Linked DNA regions of Mus musculus. The protein of the gene in region 1 interacts with the protein of each later gene in a biochemical or structural test. Links are inferred from orthologs where the notes say so. Each region holds a gene or a part of one and is shown in the gene's direction. Other genes may lie near its edges.

Region 1 (4,221 bases):
CCTTAGCAACCCATGAAAATCATCTCACCACACCCAGTCCTTGCCAGTGTTTTCTGAAGCCAAAGCTAACAGGCCTGGGCCTGGCCAGGCACCCTGTACGTACCCTTGGAGCCAGGTGTTCCGCCTCTGCCCATCCTGCAGAATCATGTTTTGCCGTGTCTGGTGCCAAACACTGCTATGTGGCTTCTCTCCTGCCATCAACAGCTGGGAACAGGGAACCTTGTGCAGGCAGTGCTTCTAGCAAGCTTGCTGTGGTCTCTGAGCCCCTTGTCCTACCTGACTTCCCAGGTACAATGGCTTTCCCACTTTTTGGGGGTTTTGTTGTTGTTGGGTTTTTTTTTGTTTTTCAAGACAGGGTTTCTCTGTGTAGTCCTGTCGGTCCTGGAACTCACTTTGTAGACCAGGCTGGCCTCCAACTCAGAAATTCACCTGCCTCTGCCTCCAAGTGCTGGGATTATGGGATTAAAGGCATGTGCCACCACGCCCAGCTGGCTTTTCCACTTTTTAGCCAGGACTTCATTCTATTACCTGAGCTCGGGATCTTCCTGCCTCAGCTTTGCATATGGCTAGCACTATAGACCCATGTTCCAGTGAATGACTTATGGCTTGTCTTTTTTTTTTTTTTTTTTTTTTTTTATGTGCATTAGTGTTTTGCCTGCATGTATGCCTTCGTGAGGGTAGCAGATCTTGGTGTTACAGTTGTGAGCTGCTGTGTGGGTGCTGCGATTTTGAACCTAGGTCCTGTGAAATGCAGTCAGTGCTCCTAACCTCTGAGTCATCTCTCCAGCTCCTGCTCTTCTGCTTTTATGAGGAAAAAGAAAAGAGAAGTGGCTTGAGAGTGGAAAATGCACATGCAGGGGTGCACACCTGCAGTCCCAGCATGCTACAGCAGAGGCAGAAGGACCTTTGTGGGTTAGAGGGCAGCCTGAGAATCTTATCTCAAAACAACTTTTTAAAATGTGCTCTGTAGGGGTAGCTCTTCCCTCCCAAGGTGACACATCTGGCAATCGCCAGAAACAGATCAGGAGCATCAACGCTTGGTTTCCCAGGGCTTGGCTTAATGTATGGCTTCAAACCCATCGGGAGCCACCACTGAACAGCTCCTGAAGGAACTGGAGCACGTCCCAGCCTTGGAATGGAAAGAGTTCACCTGTGGTGGAGGAATCAACAACGAGGGATCCCAGAACAACGATCTTCACCCCAGAAGCTGAGCCTCTTAGCCCCCACCCACCCATTTCCATTTAGGCTGCCAGCTCTTTTCTTTACAATGCACCAGACCCCGCGGGGAAAGGGAAGGAGCGGTTCTCAGTGCCCCAGTACCAAGGCCTGGATTATTCAATGAGGTGTCCGCTCCCTTTGTTGGCGGGGGAGGGGAGCGGGGGGTCACAAGGCATCCAAACTCCACCTCTTTCCTCTGCCCTGCTGTGAAGGGGGAGAGAACAACCCGCCTCGTGACAGGGGGCTGGCACAGCCCGCCCTAGCCCTGAGGAGGGGGCGGGACAGGGGGAGTCCTATAATTGGACCGGTCTGGGATCCGATCCCCTGCTCAGACCCTGGAGGCTAAGGACTTGTTTCGGAAGGAGCTGGTAAGACAAGCTGGGCTGGGGATTCACCCAGGGACCTTGGTAGGATGTGGGCTGGGAACCTTGAGATCCCCCGGAGTCCAGGAAACAGGCACAAGAATTGGAAAAGCAGGCAGCACGATAGAAGTCTTGGGGGACAAACTAAGGACTCGAGGTAACTAGCCTTTGCCAGAGTCAGAGCAGGTGGAGGGGTTACCTCCAGGAAGGAGTACGGGACTGTCGGTGCACGGCGTACCGGCTCAACTAGGAACCATCCTATGGCGAAAAAACTCGGGATGAGCCTTAGGCTGCTTTTATATAAATACCTACTGATTTCCATCACAGTCCCCAAGTAACCCGGACTGGTTTCAAACTGTGGCTCCTCATGGCTGAGCTCCCTAAGTTCTGTAGTTGTGGGAGGGTACCACTTCGCAGGGATGGAGGACGATTAAAAATCGTGTTAAATTAACACAAAATGGAAAGCAGGACTTAGCCGGGAAGAAAGAGGAATGTAAGCTGGACCACCCGCTGGCCCTCTGTGAAGTGGAATTTGAACCCTAGGAGAGGGAGCTGGAATTTTTGGCAGCGGATCCACCCCGGGGTGCCGAGATAGCGAACTCGGCAAGGGGAGGTAAACAGACCTTTGGGAAGAGCGGGTGCTCTGTTTTGGAGATGTTTGTGATGGCTCACAGATCTGAGAAGGGAAGATGGGGTTCTCTGGGTGGCCGGAGTCCCTCCACCCCCGCCCCCTGGTGTTCAAAGACAATTTTTCCCTCCGCAGACTGGCCAATCACAATTGCGAAGATGAAGGCTCTGTGGGCCGTGCTGTTGGTCACATTGCTGACAGGTATGGAGCAAGGACTTGCTGTGGTGCCGCTTTTTCTGCTCCTCTGTGGACTCTATTCTAGCCCTAGATCTCTTCTGCTGGTGGGTTGAGGCTGAGGCGGTTCTGAGACCTCTCTGAGATTCAATAGCCCTGAGCAGCTGTTTTATATACTCTTTAGGCCTTGATTTCCCCTAACTATAAGAGGATTGATGGCTTAGTGGGTAAAGGTGCTTATCATAAAGCTTGAAGACTTAACTCTGAGACCAACATAGTGGAAGGAGAGAGCCAATTCCCTCTAGAACTCTGACCTCCAAGGGTACACACACACACACACACACACACACACACACACACAATAAAAAGTTGATTTCTTAGTTGCTCTTAAAAGTGGGGTATACATTTTCTAATTCCACACCTGCCTAGTCTCGGCTCTGAACTACATAGGATACAAGACAGTGCATGCTTGTAGTATCTAAACAGACTCCACAGCCTCCAGACCCACTTCAAAGAGACCCAAAAAGACTGTAGGTCCTGACCCAGCCTTAAACTTACTCTACACAGGATGCCTAGCCGAGGGAGAGCCGGAGGTGACAGATCAGCTCGAGTGGCAAAGCAACCAACCCTGGGAGCAGGCCCTGAACCGCTTCTGGGATTACCTGCGCTGGGTGCAGACGCTGTCTGACCAGGTCCAGGAAGAGCTGCAGAGCTCCCAAGTCACACAAGAACTGACGTGAGTGTCCAGCTCTTTCACCCTCGGCAGGCACCAGCTGATCCAGGGTTGCCTCCTATCTGGGTCCCCAGCCCCTTCTTGTTTCCTTTCTCAATTAGTGTGTAGCCCAGGTTGGCCTTGAATCCTCCTGCCTTCTTTAGCCTTCTGGATGCTGGGAGGAACAGACATTTATTACTTGCTTGGTCGATTGGCTTTTGGCTTCTTGAGACAGGATCCCATTCTGTAACTCAAGCTGGCTTCGAAGGCTCTGCAATTCTTATGCCGCAGCTTCTCAACTTCTGGGAACACAAGCGAGTACCATCACCTCTTGCTCTGTGGTTTCTGGCCCTTCTGTCCTGCCTTCATCTCCTTCCTGTGTTTCCTCTGGGCCTGCAGGGCACTGATGGAGGACACTATGACGGAAGTAAAGGCTTACAAAAAGGAGCTGGAGGAACAGCTGGGTCCAGTGGCGGAGGAGACACGGGCCAGGCTGGGCAAAGAGGTGCAGGCGGCACAGGCCCGACTCGGAGCCGACATGGAGGATCTACGCAACCGACTCGGGCAGTACCGCAACGAGGTGCACACCATGCTGGGCCAGAGCACAGAGGAGATACGGGCGCGGCTCTCCACACACCTGCGCAAGATGCGCAAGCGCTTGATGCGGGATGCCGAGGATCTGCAGAAGCGCCTAGCTGTGTACAAGGCAGGGGCACGCGAGGGCGCCGAGCGCGGTGTGAGTGCCATCCGTGAGCGCCTGGGGCCTCTGGTGGAGCAAGGTCGCCAGCGCACTGCCAACCTAGGCGCTGGGGCCGCCCAGCCTCTGCGCGATCGCGCCCAGGCTTTTGGTGACCGCATCCGAGGGCGGCTGGAGGAAGTGGGCAACCAGGCCCGTGACCGCCTAGAGGAGGTGCGTGAGCACATGGAGGAGGTGCGCTCCAAGATGGAGGAACAGACCCAGCAAATACGCCTGCAGGCGGAGATCTTCCAGGCCCGCCTCAAGGGCTGGTTCGAGCCAATAGTGGAAGACATGCATCGCCAGTGGGCAAACCTGATGGAGAAGATACAGGCCTCTGTGGCTACCAACCCCATCATCACCCCAGTGGCCCAGGAGAATCAATGAGTAT
Region 2 (3,566 bases), on another chromosome or scaffold:
TCACCAGCCCTAAAGTCTTTGACTCAAACCTGTGTTGTCCTTCTATATCCTCTTCTAGAGACTCTCTTTGTTGGATGGGGCCTCAGAGTTGGAAAGACATGCAGTTTGGAGGGAGGGTGGCCTTCTTAAGAGTTCCAGCAAAGCAGCAGCATTAGGGTACAGGTGTAGGCAAATACTTCTCAGCCATTTAGCAAGTGTCGCTGAGCTATTAGACATGAGCACAGAGAATAAACAAACACTCAGGGCTGGAGAGATGGCTCAGTGGTTAGGAACGATGGCTGTTCTCCTAAAAGACCAGAGTCTATTTCCCATTGTCCATGTCTACTGGCTCACAACCAACTGTCACACTAGTTCCAGGATATAGGATGCCTTTTCCTGGTCCCAACCCATACCTGCACATGCATGTACATATGTATACACTCAACAGACACACAGACATACTACATACACATAAATACACATAAATAAAAATGATAAAAATCACTTTTTTAAAGTTAGCACAGCCCTCAAAAGCTCAGTCCAATTGAGAGAACAGAGAGTTAAAAATCGTGTGGCCTGGGAACACACCTAAGGGGGAGGCAGGGTCTTCCCAGAGCAGTTGGGAAAGAGGTCACAACAGATAAGAATTCATAAAGAAACACAGTGGTGACTCAAAATGGAGCCCGGAAGCAAGGGGTTATACGGTCTGGGAGGGGGCAGATGGGTGTTGATGCTGGGCCGGAGCCCCTGGTTGTTCAGTGTGATGTGGCCTTCCCTCCAGTGGTAATAGCCCTGCTATGTATGAGTGGGTACCTCATCTGGAGGAACTGGAAGCGGAAGAACACCAAGAGCATGAATTTCGACAACCCAGTGTACAGGAAAACGACAGAAGAGGAAGAGGAAGATGAGCTTCACATAGGGAGGACAGCTCAGATTGGCCACGTCTACCCCGCAGTAAGTACTCCACAGCGCCTTCCCGCCCTCCTTCCCTCTCCCCCTCCCTCCTTCCTTCCTTCCTTCCTTCCTTCCTTCCTTCCTTCCACGTTATCAGGAACCTCCTGCATACCAGGCACTGTTTTGGCTCTGGGAGAACACAGCCATGCTGAAGCAGGCGGTGGGAGGAGCAGAGTGTCAGGATTCCTTTTACCTGCAGGGTCTCCCTGGCAGTTAAGCAGCCAAATGACTTTCTGCAGAAGGGTAACTGGCTGAATTCCAACAAGCTCTGAATGCCAGTTAAATGCCAAACCCCACATTAGACATCAGCTTCCCAAGTCGTTGCTGGGGTGTTAGAGATGCTCAGTGCCATGGGGTGGAAGCTGAAGAATCTATCACCCTAGGACGCCTTCCTAGGCTTGCTTTCTTCTCCCACAGTTTCCTGGGCCTCTCCATCCACAATCCCCATACCTTTTGCTTAGCAGTTAGGCCACTAGACTGTGGGGTCCCTGAGGGCAGGCTCTGATGTGGTCTCTTTGCCTGGGCTTGGCACAGCACAGCTGGCTTTAACAAATGCTGAAGGATGGATGGTGTAGAAGCACAGCCATGGGGCTGCTGGTTTGTCTGGGGATCAAGTGCATAGGATGACTCCCAGTAACACACGAGCTGTGTCTTTATTAAAAAAAAATAGTAATTTTCAGGTAGGGAAGAATAGAGCTGACATTCCAAAGAGAATCATGTGGAAAGGCTAAGAGGCATGAGAGGGCGTGGCTTGTTGGGGAGCGAGGATTATGAAGCGGTTAGAACAGGTGTCGTTGTTGCACAGCAGAGTCAGGGGGCTGAGTATGACCTCAGAGGTCATCCAGTCCATCCCCCTGTCAGGCAATCAGCAACTATGATCGCCCACTGTGGGCAGAGCCCTGTCTTGGGGAGACCAGAGACCTGGAAGACCCAGCCCCTGCCCTCAAGGAGCTTTTTGTCTTGCCGGGAGAACCAAGGTCACAGCTTCACCAACTCCCGAAGAACCCTCTTTCCGAGCTGCCTGTCGTCAAGTGCAAGGTAGGGCAGTGCCACTCTGAGCCTGAGGGGCTGGCGAGTGAGGGCCTTAAACCTAGGCAGCTATAGAAAATCCTAGCAGGCTTTCTGATTTTAGAAGGCTTGATATCGGGATAGAGGAAACGGCATGTTACTGAATAATGTTACTGAATGCGTGGCAGACAAACTGCTCTTGAAGCAAACTGTTTGTAAAGGAGAGATGTATGAAACAAAGTTGTTCAGTGCTGTGAGGGTCAGAAGATGGTCCTGAGGCTCCGTCACCGTGGCCAGTGCAGGCAAACAGAATTTTAGCGATCAGAGGTCACAGGAAGCCTAGAACTTGGAGGGAGAAGATGGCTCTGTCCCACTGTTCCCACGGCCCTGCAGTCTTGTCTGCTTACCTCTGCTAGTGAGGTGAGAGTGGAAACCCTAGTCTCTGCTTCCTGAGGTTAAACCGTTTAGGAGCATCTTGTAAATTACAAATCAGTCTAGGCTAAAGAATCATCATTTCCAGGGAAGGAAATGATGCAGGGAACTTAACTCTGATTAATAAGGCAGATCTGAGTTCAAGGCCTGCTGGTCTACAGAGGGAGTTTCAGGACCAGGATACACAGAGAAACCCTGTCCTGTGTGATAAGCTCCTGCTAGTTGCAGAGAAATGGAGTAAGCAAAAGTACATTTGGCAAGCACAGTGTGTCAGACATTGCTTTCTGTGTGTCATGTCTTTCTCATTTAGTCTTCACAGTTACCTTTGGAGGTGATAGTATTAGTTTCATTTACAGTTGAGAAAACTGAGAGCCACAGGATTTAAATAACTTCCCCGAGATCCTAGGCAGAAAGTGGCAGAACCAGGAGTAACTCCAGGCAGTGCACAGAGGCCCGAGTTCCCCCCACTCTGTCATGGGGTACATGTCCTCCAAGCTCTGGAAATCAGAATTCCCAACCTCCAATCTTCTGTCCTTTTCTCCTGTAGCTTTGCCATCACTACTAGGGGCCTATCTAAAAAAAGGCAATGGGTTTCTTTTGTTTTGTTTTGTTTTGTTTTTGTTTTTGTTTTTGTCATATGTAGCATGTCCAGAGTTGGAAAATGCTTACTTTATGCTGGTTAGGTTTCGCTAGACTACTTAAGACACCATACTTGCTAGCTAGCATGTCAGAACTCCAGATACATTTTTTCATTGGGTTTCTCACCCATCCTGTGAAGTAGATCCAAGCCTCACTGACAGCTGATGAAACTAAGGCTTAGAAAAGCGCAGTGAGGCCACCCTCAAATCATACAGTCTGAGGGGGTAATGCAGCTCTCAGCACCATGTAAGGAAGGCGGCAGGAAAGGGGAAAGTGGCAGGCAGGGTTCACTCACAATGAGCTAAGGAACGTGGGATGTGCATCCTAGAAAAGGGGATCGCTTGTTCAAAAAATAAGTTTTGGGGCTTTCCTGCCCAGAACTCCGAGACTAATGCAGACCAGGGAGCATGAGAAGATGTCAATCACACAAGTATAGGAAAGAATTTCACCCTAAAGGGAACAGAGCCATAGGTTAGCCATTTGAGGCAGAAGAGAGTTGAGCATCCAGTAACTGGGAGTAAGGGACGGGGGGGGGGGGGGGGGGGGGGAGGGGA
Region 3 (3,566 bases), on another chromosome or scaffold:
CCTGTTCCACAAGGTCACACAGCCTAGAGGTAAGCTCGGCCCTGTCCCAGAACTTTTTAGATTCTTCTGGCTTACTCTGAAGATGGGTTCAATGCGCTTCCTGTACCCAATAATAAAATTGTCAGCCATTTTTCTTGACTCTGCCCGTCATCAAATGTTGTCAGTTTATTCTCCATGAACTTCTCTTCCTCCCAGGGGTGAACTGGTGTGAGACAACAGCCCTCCTCCCCAATGGTGGTTGCCAGTACCTGTGCCTGCCCGCCCCACAGATCGGTCCCCACTCGCCCAAATTCACCTGCGCCTGCCCTGATGGCATGCTGCTGGCCAAGGACATGCGGAGCTGCCTCACAGGTAGGGGCACAAGTCCCCAGAGGTGGACCCGCATGAGCCTGCAGAGGCTGACCAGATGTCCAGCTGTCTGGAGACTCATGAGTGAGGTTCTCTGCCTGTCTCAAATGAAATTACTCTTAGGGGTTCTAGTTGTCTCTAAGCTCTGTGTGGACGTTGTCTGACTTCAGACCAGGGTATCTGGTAAGAAGACCCCTTTTTGCTGATGTCATCTGAGAAGGGCTCAGTTTGAAGTTGTCTCTGTCTGTGTCCTGTTGCTGAAGCAGATTCCCTGAGACTGGATACTTTATAAAGCATAGTTCATGTAGCTCTTGGGTTTGGATACGAGAGGTCTTAGCATCTGGTAGACATAGGGGAGGGTGTCACACAGTGACTCAGAGCAAATATTCTCATTTTATTTATTCATTTACTTAAAGGACTTTTTTTTTGGGGGGGGGCGCATCTTTTGAGACAGGGTTTCTCTGTGTAGCTCTGGCTGTCCTGGAACTCACTGTATAGACCAAGCTGGCCTCGAACTCAGAAATCTGCCTGCCTCTGCCTGAGTGCTGGGCGTGTGTGCGCCACCACTGCCCGGCCTGTTGTGTTTTTTAAGACAGTGTTACTCTTCGTAGCCTTGGCTGTCCTGGAACTTGCTCTGTAGACCAGGCTGGCCTTGCACTTAGAGATCCTCTGAAGTGCTGGGACCACTGCCCGGCTCACCTCATTCACTCTTAGTCACCTCTGTAAGGTTTCACTGCCAGGCATCCTACCCACGAGGGGCCACGGAGAAGCTCCTGAAGAAAGGTGCCTACCTGCATTTGATCCCGGAGAGCCCACTTGATAGAAGGAGAAAACGAAATACCAGACTCTGCTGTGACGGCCACATGACCTTAAATCCCCAGCACTCTGGCAGGCATATCTCTGAGTCTGAGGCCAGCCTGGTCTATATTGTGAGTTCCAGGGACAGCCAGGGCTACATAGTGTGACTGTGTCTCAAAAACAAACAAACAACAAAGTTTTTTTTTTTTTTTTAAATCTCTCCTCAGTAAGAATTTGGTGGTTAGGTTTCCAACATAGATTTTTGGGGTCACGCTGATCTCAGGGACCAAAGTGCACTCACCATTTGCAGGTCCTATTGTAAGAACAGGACACCAACACTCTGGAGACTGGGGCAGAGGGATGACAAGTTTGAGGTCCCCCTGGAATAATCCTCAGGAATGACACAAGGGACAGTGTCACCAGCTATTTACCCATTTAGTTTGCTCAATTTCTGATGCCATGGAATTTGGTGGCCTGCGTTCCACCCAGAGCAGAGGTGTCAGTGTGGCACCCGGCCCCTGGCCCTCAGGTCATGTTTATTGTCCCATCAGAAGTCGACACTGTACTGACCACCCAGGGGACATCCGCCGTCCGGCCTGTGGTCACCGCATCAGCTACCAGGCCACCGAAGCACAGTGAGGATCTCTCAGCTCCCAGTACTCCTAGGCAGCCTGTGGACACCCCAGGGCTCAGCACAGTGGCGTCAGTGACAGTGTCCCACCAAGGTACCGGCCAGGCCCAGCCTTCATTTCATAAGTACTGCATTTTTTAATTACAGTGATGTGATGTATTTGTGGGTTTGGGGAATTGGCCACTCTGCCTGTGGGGTCAGACACAGCTTGTGACAGTATGTTCTGTCCTCCTTCCATGCGGGGCTTAGGATCAAACTCAGGTTAGCAAGCTTGGCAGCAAGCTTCGTTACTCTCTGAGCCATCTTGCTGTGTTAAGTGTCTATGTGGGTACAGTTTCTGTGCAAATGTCTGGCATCTCTAGGGATCCTAGAACTGTCCCCTGTGTACACTGGAGGCCAGCTGCCTACAGACTAAGTCCACATGACTTTGTAGGGACCTTAGTAACATTCCCAGGTTCCCCTGAACTTTAACATGGTGTTAGACATGTCCTGCCCTGTCCCCTCTCTGATGTCTTTGAGCCTCCTCACCTTATCCTTTCCCTTTTTGCAGTCCAGGGTGACATGGCTGGCAGAGGGAATGAGGAGCAGCCACATGGTATGAGGTTCCTGTCCATCTTCTTCCCTATTGGTAAGTGTTGCCTGCAGTGCTAACCTGGCCATGTCACCTTTCTGACAAAAAATGGAATACCCCTGCCTGAGGGATGCCCCTGCCTGCCTCGAATCACTGCCCCCTTCTCACTCATTACAAATAAGATGGAGTGGAGTGTCCCTGGTGGTGGTGATGAAACACAACTTGAGTTTTCTCAGGGCCAGCCTGGTCTACATACAGACTTTTAGACCGGCAAGGGAGTGGGGTAGACAGTGGATTTCTTTCTCAAAAAATAATTGTGATCCTGTGTGAAAAAATCATGGTGGTTCATACCTTGAATCTTAGCATCCAGGAAGCAGAGACAGGAGTTTGAGGCCAGTCTGGTCTACAGAGTGAGTTTCAGGACAGCCAGAACTACACAGTGAGACCTTGTCTCAATAAATAAATTAATTAATTAAAAAGAGCAAAGTTGACAGAGAATCTCAAAAGTTAGAACCAGGGTCAGGCTATGGGGCCCAGGCTGGCTCAGAAGTCAGCATCCTCCTGCCTCATTCCCCTGAAGTGTTAGACTCCCAGTGAATGCTATACCAACACACACTCCCTTGGTTTTTTTCTTTGTATGATAGGTGAGTATAATTTTACATTCAAAACATATCGCTGTCACATGAAAGGGCCAGGATGGACATGCCGGTAGCTTCACTGGCACGGGGTCTCCTGAGAGCCCCTGACCAAGCCCCTCTCCCCACAGCACTGGTTGCCCTCCTTGTCCTTGGGGCCGTCCTGCTGTGGAGGAACTGGCGGCTGAAGAACATCAACAGCATAAACTTTGACAACCCAGTCTACCAGAAGACCACAGAGGACGAGCTCCACATTTGCCGAAGCCAGGATGGCTATACCTACCCCTCAGTGAGTGTGCCCTTTGTGGGAGAGATGAGACATCAAATGAGGTGAAGGACAGAAGTTAGGTGGAGTGGAAGGAGAGGAAGCCCAAACCAGGGGCATGCACAGCTCAGTGGTAGAACCTGCCTAGGCCCCCAGTGAGGGCTTAGGGTGTGCCTCACAGTAGCAGGAACATGCTAGAGCCAGCTGTATGTGGACCGGGGAGGAGGTCTCCTCTGAGTGGGGGTTGGGAATAGAGGAATCAGTTCATTGCAAAGACCTCAAATTGTGATAAGATTGGGCACAGTGTACTTAAGAAGC

The links. The genes of interacting proteins can lie anywhere in the genome.
Region 2: the proteins of Apoe (region 1) and Lrp8 form a complex in vitro, tested with the Homo sapiens proteins (2 studies listed by BioGRID). The link is inferred for Mus musculus from reciprocal best matches to the Homo sapiens genes APOE and LRP8.
Region 3: the proteins of Apoe (region 1) and Ldlr interact in a biophysical measurement, tested with the Homo sapiens proteins (2 studies listed by IntAct). The link is inferred for Mus musculus from reciprocal best matches to the Homo sapiens genes APOE and LDLR.

Annotation. Positions count from the first base shown.
Region 1 is NC_000073.6:19,696,376-19,700,596, reverse strand, and holds the start of Apoe (apolipoprotein E precursor), read left to right. Parts: upstream 1-1,408; 5' UTR 1,409-1,586; intron 1,587-1,975; exon of another isoform or gene 1,976-2,073; intron 2,074-2,123; exon of another isoform or gene 2,124-2,193; intron 2,194-2,198; exon of another isoform or gene 2,199-2,343; 5' UTR 2,344-2,366; coding exon 2,367-2,409; intron 2,410-2,949; coding exon 2,950-3,118; intron 3,119-3,493; coding exon 3,494-4,217; 3' UTR 4,218-4,221. UniProt on the Homo sapiens protein: APOE is an apolipoprotein, a protein associating with lipid particles, that mainly functions in lipoprotein-mediated lipid transport between organs via the plasma and interstitial fluids.
Region 2 is NC_000070.6:107,868,218-107,871,783, forward strand, and holds part of Lrp8 (low-density lipoprotein receptor-related protein 8 isoform a precursor), read left to right. Parts: intron 1-760; coding exon 761-933; intron 934-1,794; coding exon 1,795-1,971; intron 1,972-3,566. UniProt on the Homo sapiens protein: Cell surface receptor for Reelin (RELN) and apolipoprotein E (apoE)-containing ligands. LRP8 participates in transmitting the extracellular Reelin signal to intracellular signaling processes, by binding to DAB1 on its cytoplasmic tail.
Region 3 is NC_000075.6:21,744,035-21,747,600, forward strand, and holds part of Ldlr (low-density lipoprotein receptor isoform 1 precursor), read left to right. Parts: coding exon 1-29; intron 30-195; coding exon 196-351; intron 352-1,697; coding exon 1,698-1,871; intron 1,872-2,327; coding exon 2,328-2,405; intron 2,406-3,114; coding exon 3,115-3,272; intron 3,273-3,566.